2 linked regions of the Styela clava genome follow. Each later gene encodes a partner of the first gene's protein in a complex. Links are inferred from orthologs where the notes say so. Each region holds a gene or a part of one and is shown on either strand. Other genes may lie near its edges. The genes, in order: GRB10-interacting GYF protein 2-like and eukaryotic translation initiation factor 4E type 2-like.

Evidence for each region.
Region 2: the proteins of GRB10-interacting GYF protein 2-like (region 1) and eukaryotic translation initiation factor 4E type 2-like are in contact, whole or in part, in a crystal structure (PDB 5NVM), measured with the Homo sapiens proteins. The link is inferred for Styela clava from reciprocal best matches to the Homo sapiens genes GIGYF2 and EIF4E2. Residues at the interface, in NP_001096616.1 of Homo sapiens: Leu38, Ala39, Asp40, Tyr41, Arg42, Tyr43, Gly44, Arg45, Met48, Leu49, Leu51, Phe52, Leu53, Asn56, Lys57, Ile58, Pro59, Asp61, Leu62, Asp64, Glu66, Phe67, Pro69, Ile70, Leu71, Gln72; in NP_004837.1 of Homo sapiens: His54, Pro55, Leu56, Gln57, Tyr64, Arg66, Asn81, Lys83, Gln84, Ile85, Gly86, Thr87, Val91, Glu92, Phe94, Trp95, Arg96, Phe97, Ser99, His100, Met101, Val102, Leu107, Phe113, Glu149, Asn150, Leu153, Leu156, Gly157, Glu158.

What each region holds. Positions count from the first base shown.
Region 1 is NC_135257.1:11,070,070-11,080,151, reverse strand, and holds the start of GRB10-interacting GYF protein 2-like, read left to right. Parts: upstream 1-5,954; 5' UTR 5,955-6,010; coding exon 6,011-6,051; intron 6,052-6,519; coding exon 6,520-6,624; intron 6,625-6,850; coding exon 6,851-6,989; intron 6,990-8,323; coding exon 8,324-8,411; intron 8,412-9,219; coding exon 9,220-9,396; intron 9,397-9,873; coding exon 9,874-9,944; intron 9,945-10,082. Other genes in the region: lysosomal-associated transmembrane protein 4A-like, read left to right, coding at 1-38. UniProt on the Homo sapiens protein: Key component of the 4EHP-GYF2 complex, a multiprotein complex that acts as a repressor of translation initiation. In the 4EHP-GYF2 complex, acts as a factor that bridges EIF4E2 to ZFP36/TTP, linking translation repression with mRNA decay.
Region 2 is NC_135256.1:19,553,792-19,564,340, forward strand, and holds the start of eukaryotic translation initiation factor 4E type 2-like, read right to left. Parts: upstream 4,648-10,549; 5' UTR 4,526-4,647; coding exon 4,464-4,525; intron 3,596-4,463; coding exon 3,391-3,595; intron 2,317-3,390; coding exon 2,212-2,316; intron 1,707-2,211; coding exon 1,554-1,706; intron 1,080-1,553; coding exon 943-1,079; intron 552-942; coding exon 509-551; 3' UTR 1-508. UniProt on the Homo sapiens protein: Recognizes and binds the 7-methylguanosine-containing mRNA cap during an early step in the initiation. Acts as a repressor of translation initiation.

The sequences.
Region 1 (10,082 bases):
AATATGACATGGGACCACCACCTTACGAACAAGCTTAATTCATTTACAAGAACATTGACTAAAAGTGTATCCTCAAATCCTATCAACAATGGGGCATGAATATATTGTGTTATTTTAACCCAACTTGTTCATGCCCCATTCCTATCTGACTTATTTTGTTGATACAGACTTCCCCATATCAAGCTTGATCATTGGCAGTTACGGTAATTCCAGACATGGGTGGTTTATCAATAATGTCTTTGAATACATGGCCATTAAATCACCCACGTCTGACTTTGATCAAGTTTGATGAAATGTATATAGTACCATCATCGCTCTTTTCGTGGATATATTCTGCCACTTATTATAGATGTAAGGTTGTGTATTTGATGTTAATCACTTCTTTTTCTGTTAAACTTTTTAAAAACATAAATATGTCATCAGGTCATGTTTGATCAATAATGAAATAGAGTTTATTTTCTATCCAACCCAACTGTCTTGATTGGGATTGCTGTAGTTTGTTTCCCCAATCCATGATTGATCGAATGTGATCTGGTAATCATTTAGCACTGATTTTCTTATTGTATAACATTTTAATTAGAGCAAATCCATTTAATACTAATCATCTGTAAGTTTGGGACTGAATATTTTTTGTCCGTCAGTAAATTTAGGTCTACATGGTCTAGCTATGAAACAGTGATTTTGTTGGGTAAGAGTCCCATTTGGCTATAATATATCAGTTGATGAAAATTTGTGTTGCTACAATTGGCCAATATGGCTCAACTTTTACGACTTGATAGTTTGCTTTTATTGTTATGTATGTAGAAGTCCTTAGTATTAATATTATTTTGATTTATTTTAGCTGTTTCAGAATATGTGCGAGTTTTAGTATAAAAGACCTTTGTTTTTTCGTATGAGTTGGGCAAAACATATATTGTCATTTGGAAAGAATGTGGAATCCTTTATGGATATTAATGTTTGCTTATTCGTGTGACTATTCATAGAACTGTTATGGTATACTGATCGCTTATTTATGGCCGGGAAAATAAGGTGAATTTGGTGTATGTATGAGAAAAATGATAATTTTTAATGTCTTTGATTGATTCATTATTGTCAATTGGCTCCTGTATTTTCCTTGTGTGATTTGCAGCAACGTTTGAAGGAAGCTTTTTTATTGGAAGTGAAAAATAACTTTAATATGTATTCAATACAATTCTTGAAAGCATTTTCTAAAATACGAATTGATTCGATAGCTTATTGAAGCTTTGGTTTTAATTACTTGCTTGTGATGAAACTGATAATATACATATTTTCAACTAGTCTTTTAATGTGTTTTGGATTTTATGTTATTATTAAACGAAGCATGCATCATTTCATGATTAATTTTAAACAACTTGGGAAATTGCCTACCAGAATGATATAGTTTTGATATGTGCAGTTTACTCTTATAACCAACCTATTTTTATCAACTGTAGAATGTGCATTTTGAGTTTAGCTTTGCTTATGAATAGATCTTGCAGATTTCTAAAACTAATAAGCTTTTCCTGTCATGTTCAAGAACGTGTAAATTTTTCCAGAAATTTTTTGATTGTGCACCTCTCTGAATAAAATAGAAACACTGAATTTAACAAAAAAAAAATCAGAAGCAATACGGAATACTATTAGATTTTTTATGTATCTGTTATGATGTTGTATACAAAATGGAAATTGCTTGCTGTTTAATTATTTGGATAATAATAAAAGTCTCGTGGTAGTGATCATGATTTATTTTCTCATCAAGGAAGAAAGAACTAATTAGCTCAAATGAGAGTTTGGGAATCTGTAGGTTGTCCCAGTCTCAAGTACGAAGTCTAATTAATCTCAAAAAGGGCAAAGGCAGTTAGTTGATGATTAGTCCTAGTCATCTCATTTAGATGAGTCGACTCAGTCGGTCAATCGTTTAATCGTCATCACAAAAAACAAGTGCACGTAAATTGATACAGATTAATGTTTTTTGTAAGAAGCTGTGAGGTCAAGCACTAACACCTATAACGAAATATGCTATTTACAGCCATTGGCTGTGGCAATAGTCATGGTAAACATATTTTGAGAATTACGGGTAAAATATTACAAAATAAATCGTAGAGAAGCATCCAGAGAAAAAATTTACAGAAAAGGCAGGTTTGGAGAAATGTATACAAATTGCAGGGAAAAATGTTTACAGTGAAGGAAATTTGAAAGAATGTCCAAAATACAAAGAGAAAAGTTAATAAACGCTGAAAAATTTACTCTTTAACTAGAACCTCCCCAACACTGGATAGTAGTTCTTTTTGTATGTACAATGTACATCATTTGTATCACGATCATGTTTTCTAATTCGACGAAAACAATACATATATATATTCTCTTTCAACTGATCTTATGTACATTTTTGCAGCAGTTTTATCGGGTACAAAGAAACCTCCAATGACAGCAGAAGTATGTACCAATATGTATGTAATCACATGGCAGAGGAAAATATATTAACAATATAAAAAATAATTACAGGCTTGATATATTTCCCATAGCTCTAGCGTTCACCCTTTGTCTAAAAACAAAGTTGAGAATGACTGCGGTAGACTATATCTTTATATGACAACATGCTGCTCCCCACCAATATGTTTTATCGCGGATGACCTTTACATTAAACGATAGTAAAATAACACCCAACGTATTCACCTTGGAGCAGTCACAGAAAACTAAACTTGGCACGCGAACCGCACGTGGCACAGACACATTCCGCGCAGTCCGAAGAACAATTTTTGCGTACACTACACATTTGACCGATATTTGTTTTTATTGACAGAACATTTTTGAGTTTTTTTTACCTATTCCAACTGGGGTTAGGATACCGAGATTTGAACCCTTTGCCTATCAAGATGTCCGCCCAATGCACTCACGTTGTTGACTGAAGCATTAGTGGGGTCGACTGATTTCTAATCGGTTTATCCCATTTAGTAGTTTATATCACAAATGAGGTTAATTGTAGTTTAATTCCCTAAATATTCTACTTTTAAAGTATTTTGCATGAACTATTACTTTGTAGATTTATATTTCACTTAACATTTTACCTGAGATTTTTCATAGCTTAATGCATCTTCTGATTGATTTGATTATTCTACATATAAATCGTTATTTGATTAAGCGCCAAGCAACCATTGTCAAGTCATTTGTGTAAGTTTAGATTGTATTCCAAACAACCATACAACTTATTTCGAAAAATGCAAAAACAATACTTCACGGAATTTCAAGATTGTATCTATAAACGTCAAGGCGGTGCTGATGTGGGAATTACGTCCTGTGGTCGGTTAGTTCACGTGTCGAGTCACCATTAACATTACGTGTCAAAACGGCGCGCTTTGTTTTCTAGAAATAACCAAGCGATAAATGAAAGGAAAATTGCGTGGAACAATAAGATGGAAGTAGGGGGGCCAAGGAAAATGATTTGCCGTGTGCAGACAGGGCCCGGGTCTGAGACGAGTGGCGCCTTTCATTTCAACTTCGCACCTCAAACTTGGGTCAAGCAACTTCTTATCTGGAGAGACTTTTTGTACCTTTAGTTTTGTGAAACACACTTCTATTTTTAAGCGTGGGCCATGTGGCAGCAGTGACGTAACCAACATATGACTTTGCGATCCTGTTTCTTTGAGCTTTGAGCTAGGTTCTGAAATCCCGAATTAACGAACTTGGCTGTTCTTTGACGATATCACTACACTTACGTACGCTGCAAGTTATAAAATTATCATCATAAAATGAGTACCAAAACAATGGTGACAGAGGAAAACAGAGTTTAACGCTAACTGGGAGAAAACGTGTTATTCTGCTTACAACAATGGTGAACCGCAGTGTCTGGCATGCTTTTAAGTAATATTTGTTACATATAAGTGTATCATTTTAAGCGACATAATAACATCAAACACTTTTTCTTGTGGCACTTCAATCTTGGACCACCCTGCATTACATGCTTACGGATTCATTAGCTCAATGCAATAGAGGAGGATAAGTAGTAACCCAAACTAATAGTAATTTAGAATACTGTTTTCCTTGTGATGTTTGGAACTAACAGTTAAATAAATGCTATGATTGCGATAGCTTTCTTGCCGGGGAAATAGTTCGGTATTGCAAAACTGTTTTCGATGTCAAAGTACGAAAGTAATTCAAGGTATAGATACCGTGTTTCCTCAAAAATAAGACCTAGCGTGAATTTCAAAAATAATTTTTATTATAAGCCCTCCCCTTAAAATAAGACCTAATCAATAACACGGAATTTTTTTTTACCTAGTCAATAACCTTGAGCTACTTTCACTGGTAGCTGGACCAGAGACCACATTGTTGATAAATGTGGTGCCTGAAGTTAATTTATTTTCCGTTTTAAGCGTGCAATGTTTCACTTAATAACAAAAATTATGTGAAGACGCGACAGACTTAAATTATGAAATTTGTATGCAATATTAGGTTATTATTAGAAATGCTTTCTTGAGATGATATTTGAAGTTGAGATAGCCATGTAAGGCAAATAAGTTGGTTATTGAGCAGCAAATATATATATTATACAAAACTTAGTCTCTTCAAGTTATTGTAAATACTTGTCACAAATACAACCCAGCAAACCTAGATTCTTCTCTCCTCGAACAACAGAAATCCCGATGGAGGGCGCTAAAGTGTAGCGAGCTCGCCAGTTGATCAGTTACCAGAAAGAAGCTGAAGCCTCGGAGACTAGTAGGGGCCAGGGGGGAGTTGGACTCGGTGTGCCTGCGTTTTTGTCTCGTTTTCTCACATTCTTATAAAGTTTGTCTTACACTACTTTTCTATGTTATTGTCGCTAAATAGTGTGCGAGTTGACTCATGTTTACAAATTCAAATTTTCAAATGCCAAATAGTCTAAAACTAAAACAATTCATAGGTAAAATTTTCCTGAAATTTGGCCGCACGGCGTTTGGCCGCAAATTGCCATGCTTATCTAGATCATTTTATTTGTTACCGTGTCATCTCATTTGTGCATGACACATTCATAGACGCATTAACCTCAAATCGGTAAGTGGGTACCATTGAGGTCTTTGAGGATCAATACTGTATTAAATTCTCAAATTGGAAACACCTAGGCCTACGGTACTTTTGTATTTCCAGACGCCTGTAGCCTACATCCAGACATCTGTACCTGGTCATGCTGTCATGAGTTGTTGTAGGGTATGACTGTATAATTCAATACTGCAATGATTGATCAATGGTGGTTTGTAAATTTTCTATTAATTCAGCAGTGACGCTTCAGCTTAATACATTAAATACCCGAGGATTGTCGGGTCTGGTATAGTTTAGTACCACATGTACTTCTAGTTGACCTGGCTCAACAATTTTTGCATATGTCAATCCTAACCCCCACCTGACTACGTCACCGAAAAATCACGCCATTTCGCCGTCACAGTGGCGTAATAAGGCCCACCGAAGTATGCGGATGGTCGTCCAAAACGCGCAGACGATCACCCGAAATCGAGCAAGCAATTTCTCTCGTTTTCTCGTCACAACGATCATGAAAATGAGAGAGATCGCTGCCATTAGTGATCTCTTTATCCAGTTGTCGTCGGCACAGATGCCATTTCGGGCGATTGTTGGTATACTTTGGCAAGCTCTATGACGTGATTGTGACATCGTAATGACGTAATGTTTGGCGTAGTCTGGTGGGAGTTAGGATTGACATGTGCAAAAATTGTTACGCCACGACCACTAGTTAGGTACGAAACTACACGAGACCCCAAATTTTGTCCGTAATAAAACCATAAATGGGGATGAAAATTTGTGTACAATAATTCCACTAGCTGACTATACCAGATATACAGGCTGACAGGAAAGTTAGTTGAGTGACCTTTGCTTCCTTTTTTTGTCATCTGTGTGGGCTATTACTTGTATTGTAGTATTGTAACTTTCATACTAATCACAACCTTTTTTTAATCAAATACATTATAGCCTTTACCCCAGCTTGAATTATCTGTCATACTATATTGCAGTGTAAACATACATGATGTCTTCTGCTGAAACCTTGAACTTTGGCCCTCAGTGGTAAGTTTGATTGAGCAGCTCGGGGCTGAATTTTAAAATCTCTTCGCATATATGATAATATCTATGTACAGATGTATATTAAAATTAAGTATGGTAATAAAGGCTTGAAAAGGGCAGTTTTTATACAGTGTTAATGATAGATTTTAAAGTGCTGAATTGGTATGATTGACATTAGTCAAGATTTTTACATGAATATGGGACACTTGCGTTCATTATACTAAGTCAAGTACCACTTTCCACTGCGAATGCATACACTTTTCACCTCTAACCCATATAATTTTAGTTTCCGCACATGAACGTAATAAATGTTATTATTCTTGATTCATTTTTTGACTTAACTCATATTGTTTCAAACTGTACTGAATAGTCTTTAACATAGCCTACATGATTTATCTTTAAAACTTTGTGTTACATTCATATAACTCGGTAGTCCTATTAAAACTAAATCTTTTCATTTGGATATTTCAGGCTGCGAGATTTATCTGGTGGAGCAAGTACTTCTCCAACAAGTCCACCAGCGATTCTATCTCAGTTTCAACAGCCTACTTCAAAATTCAAACTGGCTGAAAATAGGTAAATGCATTTATAGAATATTTGTATATTGGGGAATTAATATAAACTTTTTTTATATACAATGACTTTATAGTATAATGCTGTATAGTATAATAAGCTGATCACTTATGGATTTAGTTACTATTTTTGCCATCTGTTACGCCTTCTAGTTTTCTAAAAATCAAGATGTGAATATGTGTTGGAATTGCAGTTTGGAGATTTTTGATTTGAACTCGTTTCTTTCCAGGTATGGTCGAGAAGAGATGTTGGCATTGTTTGTGGACGATTCTGAAATACCTGAAGAACTTGCAAGAGCACCATCACTCGTTACAGAAATTGTACAAGCTCCTCTTGCCTTCAGACCTTCCGAATCTAATCAATCACAGGTCGGTTTTTATTCTGTTCCTCATTTACTATAAAGTAAAATTGATAATAGGGGTGTCGTGTTGGCAAAGGATTTTTATAGCGTGGACTTCCACTCTCGCCTGAGCTGTACATGTACATACAGTTCGATTTGAATTTATTTTAAATATTCAGAACTACGCAAGTATCAACAGTTCTATCCTCCAGTATAAGGCTCAGTAATTGATCTCAGTAATTGAGAATTTTATTAAAAGCTGCCATGACATTAAATTTCATCTAGAGAAAATATTGTCTTTGCTTTAACCCATGTTGGTATACGTTGCGCATAACACCTTCTACATATTTTTGTATCTATAGACATATATATAAGTCCAAACTCAATTCTAGGTTAATCGAACTTCTATATAGGAAGATGTTTGTTTCTGTGACTGTTTCAAAAAGTTTTATTCATCCCATTCTGGTTCTTCCATTCATTTACATAAATGGTTATTCATAAGTCATTCAATAAAGAACTAACAATAAATTTATGAGACATAATCAAATAGCTTAATCATCTGTGTCACATGAGTTATCTTCCGTGCCAATCATGAGTCTGAGCGATATACACAAACTCTCAAAAAATTAAGTGTGATGTCCATATGCATATATACCAGTAAGTATTCTTTACCATGGGTACTGGGTCCGCAAAAACTGTACATTTTTGTTATTTGTATTGGTACTTCGGTGTTAAAGAAGTATAAATCATACATCTAATCATTGCGAGATAGAGAAGACAAATGTTTCTTCTGAAACACAAATATAATACAGTGATACATTGGTGGTCGAACATAATTCATTCAGGATTGGTCTTAATTAAGAGTACTGAGACTTTTTTGCCATAAGAAAAATGGTAACTATTTTATCAGATTGCATACCCGTACTACTTCGTTTTGGTTTTGGTGTCCTTTGGTTGAATGGTCAAGAGGCAGCCTAGATGCGCGGTTCGGGTGACATAATCTCACTCGGGTGTTCAAGCAACGAATTTCCACTGGAGGATCTCAGCCTTTTTGACCAGAATTTTTCTAGTCGACTAACTAATTGTTCGAGTATTGAGTCATTTGACTACCAATGTAGTCACTGTATTTCAAAACTTGTATCTTATATTCAACAGCAAAAATCACAGAAAACAATATAAAAATTAAAAATGTCAACTAAGTATGCGGCCATTTTTGATTTGTTAAAAACACTTTGGTCTTCGGTATTTTGCATGAGCTTTGTTTCTAATCCAAGCAAACTAAAAAAGATCAAAGAAGATGAAAAGGTTATATTGACAACAACATTTGATTGAAATAATTTTTGAATATTTTTCTATTTTCAGCTTTCGTCCGGTTTTCGAGGTCGAGGTGGTATTTCAACTGGTCTCAGAGGTCGCTCCATACCTGGAAGAGGAAGGGGAAGAGGCAGAGGTGATTTTGATATTAAGTTATATATTCCTTACTTTGCATTTTAATTGTCTAACTCCTGATTAAAAGAAGCTTAGATACGACAAAAATAAAGTAGTAGCCTCTAACGGTCTTTTAGCGATTTCCATCGCAATGTACTGAAAAGTTGTTAGGATGGTATTACTTCGTTTTCTGTGGTGCGCAGAATTTTGCTCCATATATATCATATCGGCTTGTGGTCTCCCACCAGATTTGCCCGTTGATATTTTTGACGAATCCATTGGTCAGCTTATTGTGTAACCGATAACTATGTGAATTACTGCATCTGTTCAAACGCAATCTCTGATTTTAAGCTTCATATTAGTCATTTGACCTATATGTTCCTATATTTTATTATCGCTCTCTTTTCCTATATGTGATTGATTTTCGAAAAACACTTTGTTACTTATTCATGACAATATGCATTTCAATAATTTATATTAGAAAACAATCAATCCTTTCTAGGGATGTAAATAAATCGTTACCAACCTCAACTAATCCTGTCAATGTACTGTTTTTCTCAAGACAGATTATTATATATTTATGATGTTAACTATGACAAGGAACAAAACTGCACTGTTATTTTGAATAGTATATTACAAAATTTAATTTATCTATCCCCAATAAGTTGAGTGCAATTTCAAATTCAATAATGCGTCTGTTCTGTAGTATTTATCCTGTTGCTCTGTAACTCTGTTCTGTCTGCTACTCTGTAACTCCGTGCTGTTCGCTGTTCTGTCACAGCGAACTGTAAAAAAAAATTATTAGTACTTATCATTGTGTGTATTACCAGGCACAGCATGGGTGGACCATGACGAAGGTCCAGGTCGTAAACCACCTCTGTTGAGACGATCAGAGAGTGAGGATTGGCGCAGTGACTCACTCCGAGGTAAGGGTGATGGGGCGGAAGATATGATTGGTGGTTTGAAGGAGTGGAGAGGCTCCGGCCAGAGACCTGATTTCTGGAAAGGTATTGAGCGAGTTACCGGTACTTGAAAGTCTCCCATCTGTTATGTGTTGGTGTTTTGTCATGTATTTACATTGAGTAAATGTTAGGTATACATCTTCTGAATTGGGTCATCTGATTAAAATTAGATAATGACCTGTGAACATGATAATAAATTGTAGGATATTTTACCTGAATGCCCAAAATTATTTTGTTTATGTGTACATCTCCACAATTGCTCCGATTAGGATTGCAAATATATTATGGGGTAAAGTATGATATGATATTTTGTGACAGAAAAAGGATTAAATTTTTAGTGACTATTTCATGGATTAAAAACAATGAGTTTATCTTTTATGCACTATCAAATAGGGGTGCTCTGTGATTAGAGAGAACTTCGAGTTGGCCAATATATGGATGGATGTTTATCCGCAATGTTAAGAATCATTATATATGCTTACTTCGGTAATATGCACTGTGTTTAACATAATATATTCATAGACACTTGGCGTGACAGACCAGGGGATGTTCGCGAGCAGAAAACTTTCAGAAGTCGTTCCATGAGTGCTAAGGTATGAAACATGAGGATACATACCGGTAATCATTCTTTTTAATGCTAATGTGTGTCTAATAAATATGTTGCTTTTTTTTGGAACATTTAATAATAAAAGCATGAAACTAGGGAATAGGGATGTAAGTTTCGAATATTT
Region 2 (10,549 bases), on another chromosome or scaffold:
CAAGCATAATACGCTTTGAAATTGCCAAAAGCCTATGCATCTTACTTAATGCATTATGAAGATTTCTATAGGCCTAAGCAAAATAAATGAGAACAATGTGTCATAAATTCTTTTGATTAAAACACAGTTAGAAAAAATAAATTAAAACCACAATCGACTGCTATTTCAAAAATACACATTGTCAAATCACAAACACAGATTTATTTTGCATTTTTCATGTCCCACACAAATGTAAACCACACCAAACAACAAAAAATCGTCAAATACACAAAAAACAGCCAATTTCTTGGCCTAAAATATCACTACTATAAATATGGTCTATATCTTCAAGTCTAACAACAATACTAAGATCATCTGGGCAAAATGAAACACATATGACAATTTTGAAATTAACAAAATTTTGAATGGCCGATAAAGATCGTTTCTTTAAAGTTGTGTCTGAGGGTACGCTCCTGGTACTGGACTCACACCCGATGTAAAAAGATAGGGGGAGAAAGGTACAAAAAACCTATCTTGGAAAGAACTCTGTGTTCCGAAAGCTTGTTTTATCCCTGCAAATACAATTTAGGAAAATGTCAATTTTACAGATGAAATGCACAATGCAATGGAAAAGTAATTTTTCTTGCAAATGTTAAAATAGGTAAAACAGAAAAATCAATTTATCATATACCTACTACTGCTTAAATATAATATTTGAACAAGCTGGCAACTAATTTTCAGTGTGCACTTTATTCAATTTCTTTCGTAATACCATTTACATTTGTTAGCTGTTTGTCAATAGTACCACTTGATTTGTTTTCATCTTACTAGGAATTCATGTCGATTGTTCTATGCTATGAGTGGGTTTACCTAATAAGAAAAAGGTTGAGAATCCCTGAATTATATAAATGAGAATAATGCCTTGATAGGATAGTATGTACGAGAGTATATACAAATACATACCTTATACTTTGATTATGTTTTTTATATTCCATTATAACAGTTGGTGGTAAGTTGAGAACTCTGCGCAATGTGTCTCGAATTCTCGTGGTAACTTGTGAATTATTTGCAGTTTTATTCCATATAGATATTATATCTTCCTGAAGTAATTGAATAACATATTTGAGCTATAGTGAAATAACGAGACTGTGGGTGCAGGAAAAAAATTTAAATAAACAAAAAATGATTTTTGAATGTGTAACAGCATAGTGAATACAATTAGACACAAGAACCACAAGCCAGTTTTCACTTGCCAGAATCTGTTCATCACATCAATAACAAGCAACACCACTGAGCAGGATGGTGCGAAAGCGTGCAACATTGATAAACATGCCCAAAGCTGATTGATGGTGGGTAGGCCTCGTTGAAGACCCTCCTTGAAAATGATAATACTCAACAAGTGCACCAATCATAACCAAGCTACAATTAAACTTAAATAGGCCTCATCATGACATGTCAGTGAGATCAGCTCCTTCGCTCGCAGCCCAGGAAGGATTGCACTACAACCCTGCAAGTCCTAATCAGTCCCATTGAGAAATGTATATATAAAACATAGGTGTTATTTGTGTATTTACCTGGAATCGAAGCGAAACAACAGCTCCACATACTTCATCACCAACCATAAACTGTTCACCAACCATTGCCATAATTAAATTCTCCCAACATCTAGATGTAAAATGTTTCCTTAATCTTACAATCCATTTCCCACCATCTTTGTTTGCTTCATCCTTATATGAAAAAAATAAATAAATAGCAAGTGAAAACAGGGGATTCAAATTTCTGAACATTTCAAAGTTCATGAATAAAAGAGAAGCTTCATCTAATTCTAAATAACAAATTCATCTAACATTCACAGGATTCCTGATAAAAAATCACAACCCCCCCCCCCCATTTCAATCCATGATACAATATATTCCACATGTATAGCGTAGTAGACAATAGACAAGTAAAAATAGACATTGTGTCAATGTATGGATATCAAATCTAGTTAACCTCACAAAATGTAACATTCAATCAATAGCATATTTCCATCAAATATTATATAATATTCAAAAATTTGCTGAATGAAACACTATAAAAAAAAATTCACAACATTCATGAAAGTAATGGTAGTCCATACATATTGTACATATAGATGAGGTGATTTAGGGATGACTCTTGACTTATTTGAGACTATGTGGGCAATAAATTTTTTGAATATTTTTCCTATGACCTTTACTGCCTAGTGCCTACCTCCCACAGTGGTTTGATTCCTTGTTTGAAAAGATGGATATCACAATGGCCATTCAGGTCACCAGGACGTTTCATATGACTGTATGCTTTCCAAAATTGTTCAACCTAAAATGGAATAAAGCCTATTCTAGTGGGTTAAAACTTTATATTTTTTACACCAACTTCGATGAATTACATGATTAAAAAGTTGAAAATGAGTCAATCATGCAGTCATTGAATAGATAATTAATTACCGTGATTACATGTACAATTGAATGTAGAAATCCCATCGATATAAATCAGATACTGATATCACACTACACCACCCCACCAAGAATAAGGATAATAAAGGAAAATAAAAATGTGCAATGAGTCATGGATCTTGCAAGGTTTGGTGCTTTCCCGCTTTTATGTTTTTTTAAGTACCTTCAAATATGCCTACTTATTTACCAATCTAAATTTGAATCATTAGACTCGTGTGTGCCTCATATGTGCTCCAGAAGGCTAGTATAATCAAAATAAAAAAACACAATTATAATTTTTGGTAGGAATAAATCTCTATTTCTCCTATTTCCAAAGTGCTTAATTGAGAGCCTATTTTAGTCCATCCTTTATTATTAAAATATATCAATATCATTCAAAAACTGTGGTCCTATCAAATCAATTAAGTTTTTCCCATAAAAAGTTATGCTACCACTGGTGATAGGATAGAATTTACATATTTATCCGGGAAAACGAAAGCCGACAAGAAGGATTAATCATATGGTAAACCACGGCCTCTCGTCCGATTACCAGTACATGTCAGGTATGGGATTAATTAGCCAGTCATTTGTTTCTGGAAGCACGGACTTAATTGTGGAAGAAGCCTTCACCGACCAGCGGTTTCGTGAACCACACTACGGCGGCGAGGAATCCAGCAATCCTCTCACACACAAGCATCCTGCATGGGATACGAACCCATGCAGTGTAATCAGACGTGTGGTGGAAAGCGTATTCCTAATGCTTAGCACGATGCGGCACACCGTCGAACCGCTGATTATTCTGAAACTTTGGTAAAATCTTGATTCGCTTTAAGATAAAACAATTTTCACCCTCGAGAATTTGATAGCAAAATTTAAGAATATCCAACTATTTTGTACGGATTGTATGGATGAGGATATCGTAATCAAATCATAAAACCTGTGCATGAAAGATACTCACAGATATAAACGTCGCTACTACTCTGATATTTTTTTCAAAAGCTGATGGATCAGCAGGGCGACCTGGAGGCCTCTTTGAATACCAAAAACAATAAGAATATTGTAATGAATGTTCTCCTGAACCAGGTTTTACTTCTCGATGCATTTCATCTGCCATTGTTGCAGGTTTTATAGAGATTTCCTCTCCACTGTCATCATCCTGTAACCTACAAATGAAAAAATAAGTTAGGTTGAGTTAACCAGTTATTATTTTCAGATATACGAACTCTATTTGTTGATGATAAAGGACTGAAGGAAGTTGTAACAGACCAGAAGTTACATAAAAAAAGGGCTCGGGAGCAAGTTTGAAATTCCAATAGCTGCAGCCCAGTGCAAGAAAACTGATTCCAGCTACAAAGCTTCAGTTTATTTTACTCGAAGCTGGCCAACCAGCGTCCGATCCATAGACATGTTTTTTGGTATGACCACTACCATCGCACACTAGCCCAAATTAAGTTCCGCGACAGTCTGACAGTGTGAAACAAATTCATGATGTACCGAAAGGGTTTCAAATTTTGAAATTAATCTCCCAATGTTACAAAGTTCGGCTAGCTTTATAATTGTATTAGAAATTAAATATTAGAAATAAAATATTTTATTATTAACTGTCAAATACTTGAAATATGGTAACTTTTCGTGTATGGTCAACTGTCAGACTGTAGTTAAAATATACAGATATACCAGTAGATGGGTCTGGTATAGTTTAGTACCACATGCACTTCTAGTTGGCCTGGCTTAACAATTTTTGCAAATGTCATTCCTAACCCGTTCGTATCGTTAAATTCGTTATACTACGCCCACTGGAAGTACTTGTGGTACTAAACTATACTACTGTACTAGACCCCCAGTACCGGTAGACTACTGCAGTACTGGCACACTGTTGATCAGTATATTGCAGTATTTACTGACTGATTTATATAGCAATAGCAAACTTTATATAACTTTTTTTATGTGTATTTAGCCTATATAGCCTAACTAATAATTGAAATTTCAGTAATTTTCCCCTTGATCGGGTATCGGTACTTCAGTACTTACGCACTAAATTTGTTGTTCATTGTGCAACCGTACGGTACTGCCGTAGTTGACAGCCAGATCATAAAAAATGAATATTTATGTTATTTCTGTATTTACCGGTAATCAATGTACAGCCTGACAGATGTATCGTACCAGTATTTACGTGGTATTTACAGATTTATGCTAGTTCTCTGTAAAAATAAAACATCCGACTGTCAGAGGAAATTTATCTGTCAAGTGTCAACCAAAGTTACTTCAGCCCACACTTAACCTGCGGCCAGTGGGTCAATCAACTATTTTCCTCTATTTTATTCGCTTTATAAACGGTACCGGTATTCAATAAAAATTTGGTTGCTCCGATAATATATAGACCATTTGTGATATACGGTATCCCACGCGAATGCGACACCAAGCACGGCTCAGGTACACCAATGACATTAAACAACATGATAGGCAACTCTGACGTCACTCCATAAGACTACAGGCGAAAGATTGTATTTCATGATACGCTCCAATGCACATATTTATCGTCGCCTTTCACGACCGTTTTCCGCTCGCTTTTGCTACTCGGCGTCTTTTTTACGTGTAGTACCTGCCTTTTTGCGCTTGTAACGAAAGAAAATAATCTCTATATCTAAGACGTTTTGCTCACTTGGAAAGCTGGGATGGCAGACAAGCTGTAAAGAGCAATTCTGGACATCATAGACGTTTTTTTTTTTATCAGAGAAGATTACAAACGCGATAGCGGAAAGATTTGTGTGGAACATTTTGCAGATAATGACAAAGTTCAAAGTTAGTAATTTTATTGTTTGCGCTTAATGATTAAAATTTCATTTAAAGAGGGTGTCATACAAAACTGTTTTTACTTTTCTAAACGGTGTTTAAAAAAAAAAATTTTTACCTAATTTACTGGCACCTTTTTCTTGTCAATACTCTAAGCTGAGGTAATAAACAAGACAATACATTTATGTCATCTGGAAGCAAAATATGCACACTAATTAATAGTTTGACACATTGAGATAATACATCATGACAGAAAATACAAGTTAAAGATATGTATGACTATCCCATGGTAATTAAAATTGATAAAAATTAATAGGGGCTTTGGAGTATGAAAAGTTCAAGACAAAGAAAATAACAAATATTCATAGCTCATGAACTCTCAATTTTGCCTCCATTGCTTTGTGAAGGCCAATATATTTCGAGTGGCTGAATTGGTTTACCTTTATGATAGCAACGATTTTGTATTTAATATAGCGAGATTTTTTTCAATTTAATTGAAGTGATATTATTTCCCAAAGCAATGTTTGAATCGTCTAGAATTGATCAGTGGTGTCAAACTCATGTGTTTTCGAGAGCCGCATTGCATTTTGGAAATTGTAAAAAGGGCCGCAAACAGTTTTTGAAAATGTATACTTGAAAGATATTTTTAAGATAGTTTTAGTTTGTGACATATATTGTGATGCAACTAAACAGCTGGATTAAGTTTTATTATTTTCTTCAATTTCAAATGCAATTACATTAATATTTAATTAATATTTGCATTCCACTATTATTGCAACATTTGCAAGTTACTGTATTATTTATAAACAAATATTAAAATTCTATGTACAACCATCAAAATCAATTTTGAACAAGCTTTGGATAAGGAAAGAATAATACATACACTAAAAATGACTTTATCTAAATATATGAACCTAAAATTAACAAAAATACTACAGTATATACTCAATGTTTTTTTAATTACATTTGTCCTGACGTTTGGCATCTTTTTTGTGTCACCAGCATACTAAGGCTAGGCTGAAATGATTTTATAGTACCAACTCTAACTAACGAGGTCACATGATCATGGGTTAATCTTGATCTTTGCGAATGTTTAATTAATTCCAGTAATGCAAAAAAGTTACTTTTATCATTTCATGTATAGATCAGTAAAAAATAAAATGACAGATTTTTTCGACAAGACATTTCGTACCACATTGCGTGGCATAGGATTGCTTGAATTATTATTGATATTGATTTTTAGTAACTAAGTCGTTGTATAATTATATTAATATATAAACATATTTCACTTTAAAAGGTTTGAAAAATCTATTACATTTAGATAAAAAAAAACTTCCAAAATACTATTACAATTAGCGTTCGAGGGCCGCACTGAAAGTTCTCTGGGGCCGCGAGTTTGACATCCCTGGTCTAGATTGAAGTTGTCCAAAATATATATAACAGTATTTTATCATGAATGATGATTATACCCCTTCCGGAATTTCTTCTATAGTACTACCAAAAGTTGATGAACCAAATATAACACAGGTGCAGTGAGTTACCCGTTATCCTCATTTTCCAAAGCTGTTTTAAGTATGTCTGGCGTGTTTTGTGCCTTTTTACAAATAAGACCGCCTATGCAATCTTACGCTTTGGAATTTTTAGTTATTTTCCTCAAGACCTGCACGACGTGGGGGCCATACACAACTCTACCGGAGTCAAATGTCTTTGCATGCCCCCATAGGTCGTTTTTCTATTGCAAACATTTATGGAGTACTCTAATTATATTTCTTGGAATCACACTGTCGCTGATATGTCGCCAGACTCCCCTTCTGCTATAGTGTCCTGTGAATAAATAATAGGAAATTGAGATTAGACGAATAGTTGAAACTTTGCATTATGTCGGCTTAATTTCTTGATTGATATACTTACTATATTTGCTATTGCCTCTTGTGCTGCAGGAGTCTCACAATGCTTAGACAGGTTTGTCCACAACTTTCACATCTGAAGAAAGAGAGGAGATTTATTAATTTTCGTTAAGAATAAATAAAGCAGTCTATATGATTTAGAATGGAAAAGCTAATAAATCCAATATCCCATGTTTTATGTAAAAAATGTTTTACTGAATTTGGTATATAAACCAACTAATAAAAGGGGTTGGTCAGCAAATTACAAGCATTCGTGGCTCCAAATACTTGAGAGATCAGACTATACAATATAGACCGTCATGAGTGAAATGTTAGGTGAACTTGTTAACACTTTGATTCAATACGCAAATAAAAGTGAATGCGCAATAGTATGTTACAATGAGCAAATGTATATATCCTCACTGATTAAAAAAAATCTAAATGGAGGTGCATGAACTATTTGAAACCATAAGGGGTAAGTAAATATGCAATTTCGGCGAATGGGCAACTACTTACCGTACTGAATTAATAACTTCGTAGTATTTGACAAAGGCTGGCTTTCCCACGTGTACTTAACAGTGCGATGCCCGGGTGTGATATACAACAATAGTATTTACCTTACCTTTTTCCGATTTCTTTTTACCTCAACTTTCCGAAATATCATTAAAATCGACAACAACTGTCAAAGCAGACACGAACACCATTCGTGCTATGCCTTAAAAGCAGCACACATCCGCTCGTTTTCGTCTCGCCAAGTATGTGCATTGGAGCGTACTATCGGATACGATCTTCGGCCAAAAAAGCCGGAGTTGCGCATCATGTTGTTTAATGTCATTGGGTACACCGAGTACCGGTATGGCCTAACAAAAACGAGCGTGGGCTAGCGTCACACTACTGCACTAGTGTGGGCTGGCGTCACACGGGTGTGGGCTAGCATCACATGTGGGCTGGCCTTCCAGCAATGTTAAACGATGATTTAAAGCTTCCTAAATATCTACAAACTACTAAATTACATAAATTCTAAATCAGCATCAGAACTTCACAGAGTCCAGCAATTAATGCAGTAATGGCAGAAAGTGGTCTCAATGGACCTTTCCCAGAGCATCGACTTCTTGTTTACTTCGTGATCTTGGCCAATCAGCAAGATGCAAAAAGTGACGTAACAATGCTTCCTGTTGACATCTGCTCAGACACTTTTCTCACTCAGACAGATTTTCAAGCGTGGTCGTAAACATTACCTCGTTTTCGCGTTTTTGAACTCTTTTCGTTATCTTTCAGTTGTGTTTCGGAAACTTAAATGTAAATCAGATAATTCAATGGTCACCCTGTCTTCCTAGGAGTTTTAATTTAATTGCAGTCATATAAATTAGTGTAGAAATAGCTGTGATAGACTAGGCTAAAATTCTTTACCGGTACATTTAAAAAACAGATTGTTATATGCGATGAATCATAATGATGGTTTGAAACACATAACCCATTTCACAGGCGCCAACTCACAAAAGCACTCTTAAAATAGCCCCGAAAATTTTGCAATGTCAAAAAGCATAACATGTCGCTATTAAAAGGCAATGGTGATGAAAAAAACGTTGTTTTAACTTTTTTTCCCTTTAAACGAGGAATTCTCAGTAAGCGCCAGTCATCAAGTTGTGTTGATTACGTCCCTGCCATTTGTACACACCGCCCGTCGCTACTACCGATTGAATGTTTGTTTGTTTGGTGGTTTCCTTGGATCGGCCCCGTCGCGGCTGGCAACGGCCGCGTCGGCGTGTCGAGAAGACGATCAAACTTGATTATGTTCAGGAAGTAAAAATCGTAACAAGGTTTTCGTAGGTGAACCTGCGGAAGGATCATTACCGAAGGTGGTAGGCCTCGGCCGACCGCATTTGTCTTTGGGTACCGCCGTGGGGGCGGCCTTGAATCAGGGGCACACGCCCCGTGCGACACGCGTAACACGTTGGCATAGCAAGGCAGCCAAGTGCAATGGTGGCTTCTGGGCACCGCGCTCGATGTGCCGTCGGTCGGCGCCGGCGTCGACGACTTGCGATGCCAGCGTGCCGTGGAAGCAGTCCGCGAGACACATAGGACCTGAGTTCGGGCGAGAGCACCCGCTGAATTTGAACATATTATTAGGCGGAGGAAAAGAAACCACCAGGGATTCCCTGAGTAACGGCCAGTGAACCGGGAAGAGTCCCTGTCCTTTGTACACAACGCCCGTCGCTACTACCGATTGAATGGTTTAGTGAGATCCTTGGATCGGCCTCGTTGCAGCTGGCGACAGCTAGCCGAGAAAATGATCAAACGATCAATCACCGCCTAAATTCGGCAAACAAGATACAATAATGAAAAATATACTTAGATCGGCCGCAACCTTACGTACGGGTTAGAAGTTAGATACATGCCTGTATTTATACAATGAAACATCCCAGGCTATGCTAATTGAAGGGCCCCTCTGTACGAATGACATCAGAAATAACCTAATCGAGGAAATATACATAGGCGTACATACAAAACGGAATGGCACCAGAAAATAAGCCCTCGCAATATCCTCGTTTTTAGTGATATCTGGTCTAAGATATATAACATATATTTTATATAATGATAATTCTTACCTTCTTTGTAGCTTAGATGAATTAGTATTATATATAGCCATATATCGATATTTTTTTCATAAAATAAAGGCATTATTACGATATAAAATTGTTTAAATAATTTGAATTAGCATACTTTGTCTTTAAGGTTGAAGGAATATAAGTTATACAAATTCGTTTATGTGGCCGTATTTACATTTTTAATGATTTAAACGGTAAATATTTGGAATTAATAACCTGAACAAAAATTATGACATATGTTAAGTTTGAAACTAACATTATTCAGAAATAAGCCTTTACATTTTAAAAACGATTAAAAATGTATAACAGTTCAAAATTGATTGACAAGACCCTCGAGGAAGGAAGTCCTCAGGCTTCGGCTACTTTGCCTAATAATATATCCAGTCCCGGTTCGAATCCCACGAGTGATGTGACAATGTACAAGAGGATTGCTGGGCTCCTTGCAGTAGAGTGGTTTGCGTAATGGCTTATCAGAAGCGACTTCCTCCGCCAACCACGTTTGCGGACGCATTGTGCTGCACCTCAAGGAGGCGTGTAAGGGCGAGTGATCTATATTTGTGGCGTTTCGAGAGGTTTATTGCGAATAAGAAGAAATTTGCAAGTTTTTATCCTCTTTTCTTGTTCTAGCTGTAATCAATTTAATGCAAAAAAATCAAACGATAAAGCTATTTTGAACAAAACAGACAAAAAAAAAACTTGCTTTAAAACAATTGTTTAAAAACAATTATTTTCGAACATATCCCTACCTAGATTCCTGGAACTTTCGGGTATAATCATGCGCAAACAGAATTTGAAGCATAAACAAAATTTAATGATGTTTTTGTATAAG